Linked DNA regions of Arabidopsis thaliana. The protein of the gene in region 2 binds, or shares a complex with, the protein of the main gene of each other region. Each region holds a gene or a part of one and is shown on either strand. Other genes may lie near its edges.

The links.
Region 1: TAF8 (region 2) and TAF11b share a complex: the UniProt entries of both Arabidopsis thaliana proteins name them as parts of the TFIID complex.
Region 3: TAF8 (region 2) and TAF15 share a complex: the UniProt entries of both Arabidopsis thaliana proteins name them as parts of the TFIID complex.

What each region holds. Positions count from the first base shown.
Region 1 is NC_003070.9:6,936,356-6,939,287, forward strand, and holds TAF11b (TBP-associated factor 11B), read right to left. Parts: upstream 1,312-2,932; coding exon 1,220-1,311; intron 1,066-1,219; coding exon 543-1,065; downstream 1-542. Other genes in the region: AT1G19990 (nucleolin), read left to right, coding at 7-310; TUB5 (tubulin beta-5 chain), read right to left, coding at 1,678-2,360, 2,440-2,709. UniProt on the Arabidopsis thaliana protein: TAFs are components of the transcription factor IID (TFIID) complex that is essential for mediating regulation of RNA polymerase transcription.
Region 2 is NC_003075.7:16,426,315-16,430,073, reverse strand, and holds TAF8 (TBP-associated factor 8), read left to right. Parts: upstream 1-2,063; 5' UTR 2,064-2,241; coding exon 2,242-3,303; 3' UTR 3,304-3,435; downstream 3,436-3,759. Other genes in the region: HDR (4-hydroxy-3-methylbut-2-enyl diphosphate reductase), read left to right, coding at 1-48, 150-281, 368-442, 512-617, 712-806, 895-1,080, 1,154-1,240, 1,328-1,393. UniProt on the Arabidopsis thaliana protein: TAFs are components of the transcription factor IID (TFIID) complex that is essential for mediating regulation of RNA polymerase transcription.
Region 3 is NC_003070.9:18,630,349-18,634,107, reverse strand, and holds the start of TAF15 (TBP-associated factor 15), read left to right. Parts: upstream 1-2,068; 5' UTR 2,069-2,229; intron 2,230-2,407; 5' UTR 2,408-2,445; coding exon 2,446-2,550; exon of another isoform or gene 2,551-2,566; intron 2,567-2,660; coding exon 2,661-2,989; intron 2,990-3,105; coding exon 3,106-3,303; intron 3,304-3,759. UniProt on the Arabidopsis thaliana protein: TAFs are components of the transcription factor IID (TFIID) complex that is essential for mediating regulation of RNA polymerase transcription.

The DNA.
Region 1 (2,932 bases), on a different chromosome or scaffold from region 2:
TCACAGGTTGATGGAGTCTGGATTGCTTCCAGCCGAAAAAGCAAAGAAAGTTCTTGAGAAGAAACTGCAAAAGGGTGGAAAATTAAGTTCTCCAGTAAAATCTGCTGCTTCTACTCCAAGAAGCAACTCCAAATCAGTGACCGTGAAGAAGAAGGAAGTACAAAAGTCGCCATCTGAAGCTTTGTCAAACAAAAAGAAGGGAAATGATTCGAAACCAACCACGAAGAAGAGGAAGAAGAACTCTGATGATGACGACTCAGATGATGATTTTTTGGCTAGCAGAGTCTCTAAAAAGGCTAGAGCCAAGTAGGTTGAATTAAAAGACTGAAATCTCATTGTGTTATTTGTAATCGTTTCTTAGGGAGTCAATTTGTAGAATGCTTGAAAGGTGAATTCTTTAAGAGTAATGAGAGAGATGGCCAATTGTTTCTGATCTTATCGTGTACTTCTTTAGTTATTAAGCAAAGACTTAATCACGTTTGGTTTAGAGCATGATAGTTACTCTTCGTCCATGTCACTACTTTGTAACCTCGTCATTCTGACTAGCGAAAAAGCCGTTGAACTGATCTTTGAGGCACTTTTCCTTGGAGCTTTAGTCTTCGATATGACTCTCTGATATGGCAAGGTCTAATAGGTCCTGATTCCTTCCTTTCCCTCATAACAACTCGAGCTGTTTCCACAAGGTCGCCAACAAACATCTTTGCGATACCACGCACAACGATGTTCATAGTGTCGTCCATCTTCGGACCCCCTGTGATTCTCTGTACCAACTTCTCCATGTCTGATTTCTTAAAACCAGATCTTCTGAAAGATTCATATCTGCTCATTTGTTCCTCTGTAAATTGTGATAAAATCTTCTGCATCTTGTTGGCTCTAGTCACAGGATCAGCACCAGTTATGTTTTTGGTGAACTCAACTTCATCTTTGTTCTTCGCTTCAGCAACAACGGACGTTTTACATTTCTTCACAGCTCTCTCATCTCCTTCAAGAGTCTGCTCGGTTTCAACAGGTGATTCCTCTTGCTCCTCCATTGCTGCTTCAAACGGATCCTTCGAATGCTTCATTCTTAATAAAACCTTAACGAAAATCACATATCTTTGGATCTTAAAACTCCAAAATTCAGCCAATTTTTTTGTTGCACATCCGACCACACTAGAAAAAATCCGACATGAACATGAACTCAAAGAAATCAATTTTTTGTACTTGTAATTACAAGTACCTTGGCACTGGCTGATCTTTCAGACAATTGCAGTTACAAGTAACCCGCTCGTTGCTACTAGCAAAACAACAAGACCTTGCGTTAAAGGCCATTTATTGTCAAGCCTATTTTTTAAGAAGCCCAAATGTAAAAGTCGGTGGGAAATGAAGTATCTTTATTTATAGAGGCAAAAGTTTAGCTTCCTTTATACTAATTTACTCGATGTGGGACAATTGAGAGAAGTGTAAAATTTATATACTACACAGTAGCTTGAGAAGCAAGGACGTATTATCTCAAATGGAAAATACAAGACACCCAAAATAAATGGAAACTTCAAACTTTCTTTGAACAAATTACTCAAACAAAAAACACATTTAAACAAATTTCCCATTTTTTCAATGTTTTTCAATCAAATTTAAATAGAGAGATTTCCAAGAGTCGTTTCCTTGTCTTTTAAGTAAAATGTTTGATTTGGTGGATCAAGTCTCATAATCTCCCTCCTCTTCTTCTTCAACATCATACTCACCTTCCTCATCAGCAGTAGCATCTTGGTACTGTTGGTATTCAGCGACCAAATCATTCATATTGCTCTCAGCTTCCGTAAACTCCATTTCGTCCATTCCTTCTCCTGTGTACCAATGCAGAAACGCTTTACGCCTAAACATAGCCGTGAACTGCTCACTCACTCTCCTGAACATTTCTTGAATCGACGTCGAGTTACCCACAAACGTCGCCGCCATTTTGAGCCCCTTTGGTGGGATATCACAAACGCTGGATTTCACGTTGTTTGGGATCCACTCAACGAAGTAAGACGAGTTCTTGTTCTGTATGTTTAGGATTTGCTCGTCGACTTCTTTTGTGCTCATCTGTCCTCTGAAAATAGCAGAGGCTGTGAGGTAACGTCCGTGACGTGGATCAGCTGCACACATCATGTTTTTGGAGTCCCACATTTGTTGAGTCAGCTCAGGAACGGTGAGTGAGATGTATTGTTGCGAGCCACGGGAAGTGAGGGGCGCAAAACCCACCATGAAGAAATGGAGACGAGGGAATGGGATTAGGTTCACCGCGAGTTTCCTGAGGTCAGAGTTTAGTTGTCCGGGGAACCTTAAGGAGCAAGTCACACCGCTCATTGTTGCGGAGATCAAATGGTTCAAGTCTCCAACTACATCATCATGCAATGTATCAGAATTAGTTTTAAATACATTTTGGGTTAATGGAGGATAAGAATTGGGTGTACTTACAGCTAGGAGTGCTGAGTTTGAGGGTACGGAAGCAGATATCGTAGAGAGCTTCATTGTCGAGGACCATGCATTCATCAGCGTTCTCTACAAGCTGATGGACAGAGAGAGTTGCATTGTAAGGCTCAACGACTGTGTCAGAGACTTTAGGAGATGGGAAAACAGAGAAAGTGAGCATCATTCTGTCTGGATACTCCTCTCGGATCTTCGATATCAATAGTGTTCCCATTCCTGAACCTGTGCCTCCTCCCAACGAATGGCACACCTGAAACCCTGTAAAATAATGCAGCCCCATGATTCACATAGTATTGGTTCCATCGATGAGACGAAAAAGTGTTCATATATAGTCAAGCAAACATCTTGTTACTAGTCCTTGCTAACTAAATCAACTATAATGTTTATGTGAATCTACAATGCTTTAAAACAATAATCAATGAATCTACAATATGCGTTAAAAAATATTTCTCCCCAATAATAACAATGCACACTAGTAGTC
Region 2 (3,759 bases):
GATAAAAAGGTGCAAATTGTTGACACGACTTGTCCTTGGGTGACAAAGGTACATTCCTCCTGTGGCCATAAATCCGTAATATTGTTTCTCGCATTCATCTCTAGCATAGGTTATTGATATCTTCCTTTTTGACATTTGTGACTCTAAAGGTCTGGAACACGGTTGAGAAGCACAAGAAGGGGGAATACACATCAGTAATCCATGGTAAATATAATCATGAAGAGACGATTGCAACTGCGTCTTTTGCAGGAAAGTACATCATTGTAAAGAACATGAAAGAGGTGTGACTTTTATATTGTCAAACTTTGGATATCCATAGAATTTTGCAAGATGTGTTACTGATGGGGTACCTTATTACTGAGCACAGGCAAATTACGTTTGTGATTACATTCTCGGTGGCCAATACGATGGATCTAGCTCCACAAAAGAGGAGTTCATGGAGGTATGTAAGCTTATTTTGCTAATTCTTTGTATCATTCTGGTTTTTCTAATCTCTATGTTGGCGTTGTAGAAATTCAAATACGCAATTTCGAAGGGTTTCGATCCCGACAATGACCTTGTCAAAGTTGGTATTGCAAACCAAACAACGATGCTAAAGGGAGAAACAGAGGAGATAGGTTAGTTACTCTACCGTTTTTTTACATGACAATCGTCTTTTATCCTTGGAAACAAAAACACCTTAGTTTGAGTCTCATGCCAAAAACCCCACAGGAAGATTACTCGAGACAACAATGATGCGCAAGTATGGAGTGGAAAATGTAAGCGGACATTTCATCAGCTTCAACACAATATGCGACGCTACTCAAGTAAAATTCCCATACCTCAAAAACCATGCATCTAGACAAGTTTTACACTTGAGGAAGTGTTTATTCATCAATACTATAATCTCTTCAGGAGCGACAAGACGCAATCTATGAGCTAGTGGAAGAGAAGATTGACCTCATGCTAGTGGTTGGCGGATGGAATTCAAGTAACACCTCTCACCTTCAGGAAATCTCAGAGGCACGGGGAATCCCATCTTACTGGATCGATAGTGAGAAACGGATAGGACCTGGGAATAAAATAGCCTATAAGCTCCACGTAAGCGCATTTCAAAACTAACTTACTCCTTACCAAACTGCATTCACTGATTTTTTCTATTTTACATTGATAGTATGGAGAACTGGTCGAGAAGGAAAACTTTCTCCCAAAGGGACCAATAACAATCGGTGTGACATCAGGTGCATCAACCCCGGATAAGGTATATATATATTTGCAGCTATATTTTTGTTTGGTTCTCTTGTTTCCCACACGAACATGAGTGAAAATATTTGTGAAAAAATTACAGGTCGTGGAAGATGCTTTGGTGAAGGTGTTCGACATTAAACGTGAAGAGTTATTGCAGCTGGCTTGATTCGGCATTGTGATCGTATTCAAATACTATTTGTCATGTCAAGAGTGTACTAAAATATATGTAGTTGTATGATTTGTCTTTATAACTTTTGTAAGAGGTTTTGTAATTCAAAGTCAACATCCTCGTTATCTTACTCCACTTAATGTTCTTACCATAATCGCAATTAGACTGATATAGAACTTGAGACTGTGTAAGGCTGTCATTATCGAGAAGTTGTCACTAAAACAACTAGGTTATGAATCTCCGCGGTATCGGGAAAGAACTCATTTTCAACAAATCGAGCCACAAGAGTTTCTAAAATAGTTTAATGTAACGAAACTCGGGAAGTTGTCAAGAGTTCTCCCGCGATATTTCGTTATGTTTGGAAAATTTTCAAAACAATGTAATGAAATATCGCGGAGAACTCATTTTCAACAGAATCACTCATCCGAATTTCTAAAATAGCTTCATAAATTTTTACGAAATACCGCAGAAAAACTTATTTTCAACAAAATCAGCCACGCCAATTTCTTATAAAATTTTCCAATAATTTTTTGGGTTATGATTACTACAATTTACATTTGTTTAATTTTAAACCAAAATTTTGGTCTAAAAAAAAAAAAAAAAGTTGGTAGTTAATTTTGGGGTTGGAGCTCTATATAAGCGAGAGATGGCAGGATTCTCAAGACGCATTTCTCTCTGTCTCTCTTTCTCTCTTCATATTTCCCGGTGCTTCGTCGACGTTAGGTCTTTTCCGTTGACGGAGGCAAATTTCTTCGATTCTCTTTAAACCGGCGGTCCATGTGGTCTTACCGACGAGAAAACCCTAATTTCAGGGATTAGATAGCTTTTTGAAACAAATTAGAGCAATGAACACAGAGAGAGCTCAAGAAGGTGATAGGAACGATGCCGCATCTTCCTCTGGCTGCTCCGAGTCCTACGAGTTTAGCCACGCAGCCGCTAAAGCTGCAGTAGCTCAGGTCTGCGAGAGCGTTGGGTACGAGAATTTCAAGGATCCAGCTCTCGAATCTCTATCTGGATTCGCACTCCAGTACATTCTTCAGCTAGGTAAAACCGCTACTTCCTTCGCTAATCTAACTGGTAGGAGTCAGTGTAACGTGTTCGATATCATTCTCGCTTTGGATGATTTGACTGATAACAATGGCGAACAAGGAATTTCGTCTGAGAGTTGTTCATTAGGTCGTTCGATTAAACTTAGGGAGATTATCGATTTCGTTAATTCGAGTGAAGAAGTCCCTTTCTCGCAGCCATTGCCAAGTTTTCCTGTAGCTATAAGTGATAGGAGTAGGAAGATGATCCCAAGCTTTGTTGAAATTGGTGAAACTCCACCTGGGAAACATATTCCTTTGTGGCTACCAGCTTTTCCTGATCCTCATACTTATAAGGAAACCCCTATGTGGATCGAAAGAGTATCAGATCCAAGGGGAGATAAGATTGAACAAGCGAGGCAGAGACGAAAGGCTGAGAGAGCTTTGTTGAGTTTGCAGAGGAAACTTGTTTGTAAAATCTCCTCAAGGAATCCTGTGTGGGGAGATATGGATGGTGTGAAAGAAGAAATGAGAGATGATGAGAGTGAACTGCGTTCTGTATCGTCCGGGGAGAAAGTCGAATCATTGAATAGAGATGGCTTATCAGTGATAGAGGCATTTGCTCCTGCTATGGAGGCTGCAAGAGATGGGTTTTCTAGTGAAGCTCACACTGAATGGAAGAAGAATAAACCTGTTGCTCTTTCTAAGCTCAGAACCGAGAAGAAATTTCTCGGACAACCTTTGGATCTAAGTCTACAGATGAAGGGTGAAGATAGACCCATATCCTTTGTGCGTGAGGAGGATAGAGATGACAAAAGAAGAAGAGCGGAGTTCATTTTGAGACAGTGTATGGAGAACCCAGTAGACCTCAATCAGTTGTAAAATAAGTGATTCATTACAGTCTGTGTAGCGTACTATTAATCTTGTGATTTGTAACCTTTCTTTATACAGGCCTATGTTATGATTATGATTTTGTGACTGAAAGAATGAGAATTTCTAACCTATCTTTTAGGCAATTGATATGATGTCTTTCTCATGAGATTCTTGTTACATAACTTAATGTTAGTTTCAGTTTCATGTCTCATGAGTGGGAGCCAGGGACCAGTGTGGAAGGAGTTTAGTCTTGTATCATTGCTATATTTCCAAACCAAGTCAAGTGGTCTGAGGTAAGTATATTTTCTTTGGTCGACATGTGTTTTGCTTCGTGATGTTTATGGGGTGTGAAACATATCACTGTATCAGAATTAAGATTATGTTATGTCAATTAGTTGAGAGCTCGAGGTTAGAAAGGAAAGCTAGGTTATTGAGTTGGGGCCTTGTGGATTAATGTAGGATTTT
Region 3 (3,759 bases), on a different chromosome or scaffold from region 2:
TAACATTTTTTATTTATGATAAGATGTGAATATATTACCAAAACGTAGTAAGAATTTTATTTTAATGAGATTTACTAATATAAAGTTTTTTTTGGGTTTTATTTAAATGGGTTAGGAGTGCAATTGAATCATTTTTTCAACTATTTCAACTTAAATAGTAAAAAATTGATTGAATGTTTATTCAACTCTTTTAATTTCTTCAATTACGTCAACCATTTGCACTGGTTTGTCAATTACAGCAATAAGATTTTTCTCTGAAAACTCATTACAAGAAAACTTGTTCTATTCTTTAGTGAGTTTTTAATCTACTAATTATATATATGAAAGTTAGCCAACTCTCTCCATATGATTGACACATCATCACTTTAACATTTGCCATGTATCCACTGAATAATTAATGTAAGCTCTTCAACTTTTAATTTATAGATTAATGATGTATTTATTATTTAATTTTACATATTTAATTGTACTAATACTAAATTTATTTTGTTATTAAATGTTTTTCAATAAAATAATTTGATTGATTTTCTCATACTCAAAAGATTTTTTTCTGTAATCTTAACTCAAATTATGAGTGTATAGTAGTCATGGATTAATTAATAGTTTGAATAGTTTGCATATTGTTATATATCTATATAATAAATCGCCGAGGGTGAAGAGTATGTAAGAAGTTTAATCATCAAATTCTTAGGTTTCGAGAATCCCAATATTACCTTCTATTTAATTAGTTTAAGACGAACATTGTTTAGGAATTGTGTGTATAATGCATTGTTGAGAATGTTGTTAGAAAAAATATATTTTAATATTAAGAATAATTACTTATTATATAAGTAAATGATTAGATAATTAAAAATTATATTTAAATTAAACGATACAAAAAATTTAAAAATACCGCAGCGTAGCGCGGGTGATTACCTAGTCATAGTAAAATTAGTAGTGACAGATTTTAAAAAATGACAAGCTTATGCTAGTAACTTTACAAAATAGATAGCATTATATAAATATTTTACTGTAGTATGAGTCAATACTTTTTTAATTATTAATTTAGTCAATATATGTTAGATGCAAATGTATTTTTTTTTATTGACCAATACTTTGGTAGTATAATATTAGTAGTATTAGATATTATTGGCTATAAATAGATTCAACATTGAAACACAAATCATATATATGAAAGAAGACTAACTCTCTCCCACAACTTGACACATAAGCACATGAGAGCTTGCCACCTAGACTTCATAAAATAAGTAATACATAATTAGTAATTAATTCAACATAACAACTAAAATAGGAGAATATAATTAATGAGAACTTGAACCATCACTCTTTCTACATTTTTAATTCAATATATCCTCTTTAATTTTGAGATCCACTTAAGTGGCTAAAGTGATGATAAAATCCAAACATGTTACACATATTCCTGGCCTAAAAATTAGACGATTATTATGAAAGAAACTAAATGAATATGCAGATTAAATATATCTAAGCTTTTCGATATTTATGCTAAGAAAACAGGTAATTTGAAAGATATTTGAGGAGCTATCCTTATAACTAATACGTAAGATATAAGATTATGACAAGAACTTAACTAAACTTTCTAAGAATATCGAGTTGAATATGCTTAGATTGAATATGCAAAGACATGATTAATAAAGACATGTTATATTTTTAGTGTAAGAAATAATTTTTCTAAAATTTCACTGTCTCACAATCTATACATATAACTAAAAAAGCAAGGATATATAAATTCAAAAAAAAACTAAGAATCTAAAACAACAATAAAAAACAACTCAAGCACATTCGTTTTTCAGATGAACTAATATAGTTGGACTTTTCAAAAACAATTACAAAACATATTTATGTTTCAAAACCTATGCATTCAACTTTACTTTATATAAACAGACATTATATAAAACAATTAGTAAATAGTAATACGTAAACCCGCACGTAGTGCGGGTACTCATCTAATTTGTAAATTAATAATTCCTCAATTTGCACCCAAAAAAAGAATTCCTTAACCACGAAAAAAATAAAAAAACAAAATTACAATTTAAGGGGGAAAGTTATATGAAATTGCAAATATAACCACCAAACAAACAATCGACTATCGAGGTTACCCTTAAGAAAATCTTTATTCGCAAGATCTCTCTCTCTCTCTCTCACTCGACGCACTTTAGAAAGAAACCCTAGTCCGACGACCTCTCCTTCGCCGCTGAATCCTCATCGCTGGTCAGATTTCTATCTATCTCGCTCTTCTATGTTTCCCTATCTCGTTGGTCAGATTTCGAATCTTCTTTTTGTTCTCATGGTTTTTGAGCTCAAAACTTTGGGGTTTCAATGTCTCGATGTTATTTCTTAGCGAGGTTTCAATGTTGGCTAAGTGAAGTTTTGGTATTGTCATTTACAGATTCTTGGCGGCTTTCTTTTTGATGAAATTGGATTACGATGGCTGGATATCCTACTAATGGATCAGTCTACGTTTCAAATCTCCCCTTAGGAACTGACGAGAATATGTTGGCTGACTATTTTGGGACCATTGGGTTGCTTAAGGTATGGTATTGGCCAGGTACTAATTGTTGCTTTTGTTTTGACGTCATTGCAATCTTTTATAGGTCACTAGATTTTCGAGTTTCTTACATTTTTTTCTACATTGCTTTTAGAGAGACAAACGAACTGGTACTCCTAAGGTATGGCTGTACCGGGATAAAGAAACTGATGAGCCCAAGGGAGATGCTACTGTTACCTATGAGGATCCGCATGCTGCTTTGGCTGCTGTTGAATGGTTCAATAACAAAGATTTTCATGGAAACACCATTGGAGTTTTTATGGCCGAGTCGAAGAATAAAAATGCTGGTGATGCAGTTGAGTTTGTTGAATTCGATGGAGGTGCTGAGGAAACAAATGGAGGTGCTGGAAGGGGGAGGGGTCAGGCTGATTCTTCGGCAAAGCCATGGCAGCAAGATGGTGACTGGATGTGCCCTAATACAAGGTCTGTGATGTGATATCGGTGAGGAGCTTCATCTAGCTCTTGTTTCCGTTAATTTGCTAGTTTTTATATATTTTATAGTTTCTAGCAGTAGTGTTCTCATACTCTTTCATTGGCAGTTGTACAAATGTGAATTTTGCATTCCGTGGGGTTTGTAACCGCTGTGGAACTGCTAGACCAGCTGGTGCATCTGGTGGCAGCATGGGTGCTGGTCGTGGAAGGGGTCGAGGTGGAGGCGCTGATGGTGGGGCCCCGGGGAAGCAGCCCAGTGGTGCTCCTACTGGTCTCTTTGGTCCAAATGATTGGGCTTGTCCAATGTAAGCATTCCGATTAGGTTTGAAATAGTTAGTTCAGTTTCAGAGGATAATGAGCGTTTGGTACTTGATTAAAACACATCGCAAGAAACAATTTATATTCAGTAGCAAAAGAGAACATTCAGATGGCATATAGCGTTGCTGGATATAAAATTAATTTGTCTTATGTATGGAAGGAATATAGCTTGTATATCAATGCTTTTGATGATGTCAGTTGACTCTTTACTTAGAAAGAAGTGATGGCCCGCTCTGCTGTGCTGTGTCTCTTAAACTGGTCCAAATTATGTGTGGAGGCACATATTTTTTCCTTCTTTTTTGAATGTTGATTCTAATTTCGTAATTTTCCTTCAGATGGCTGTTAATCTGAAAAATGTAATTTGAAACGTGGGTAGGTTGTAGTCTTGATCCTTCTAAGAAGTTATATTTGTGAAGATAGGCTGCCTTCAATTTTCTGTGTCT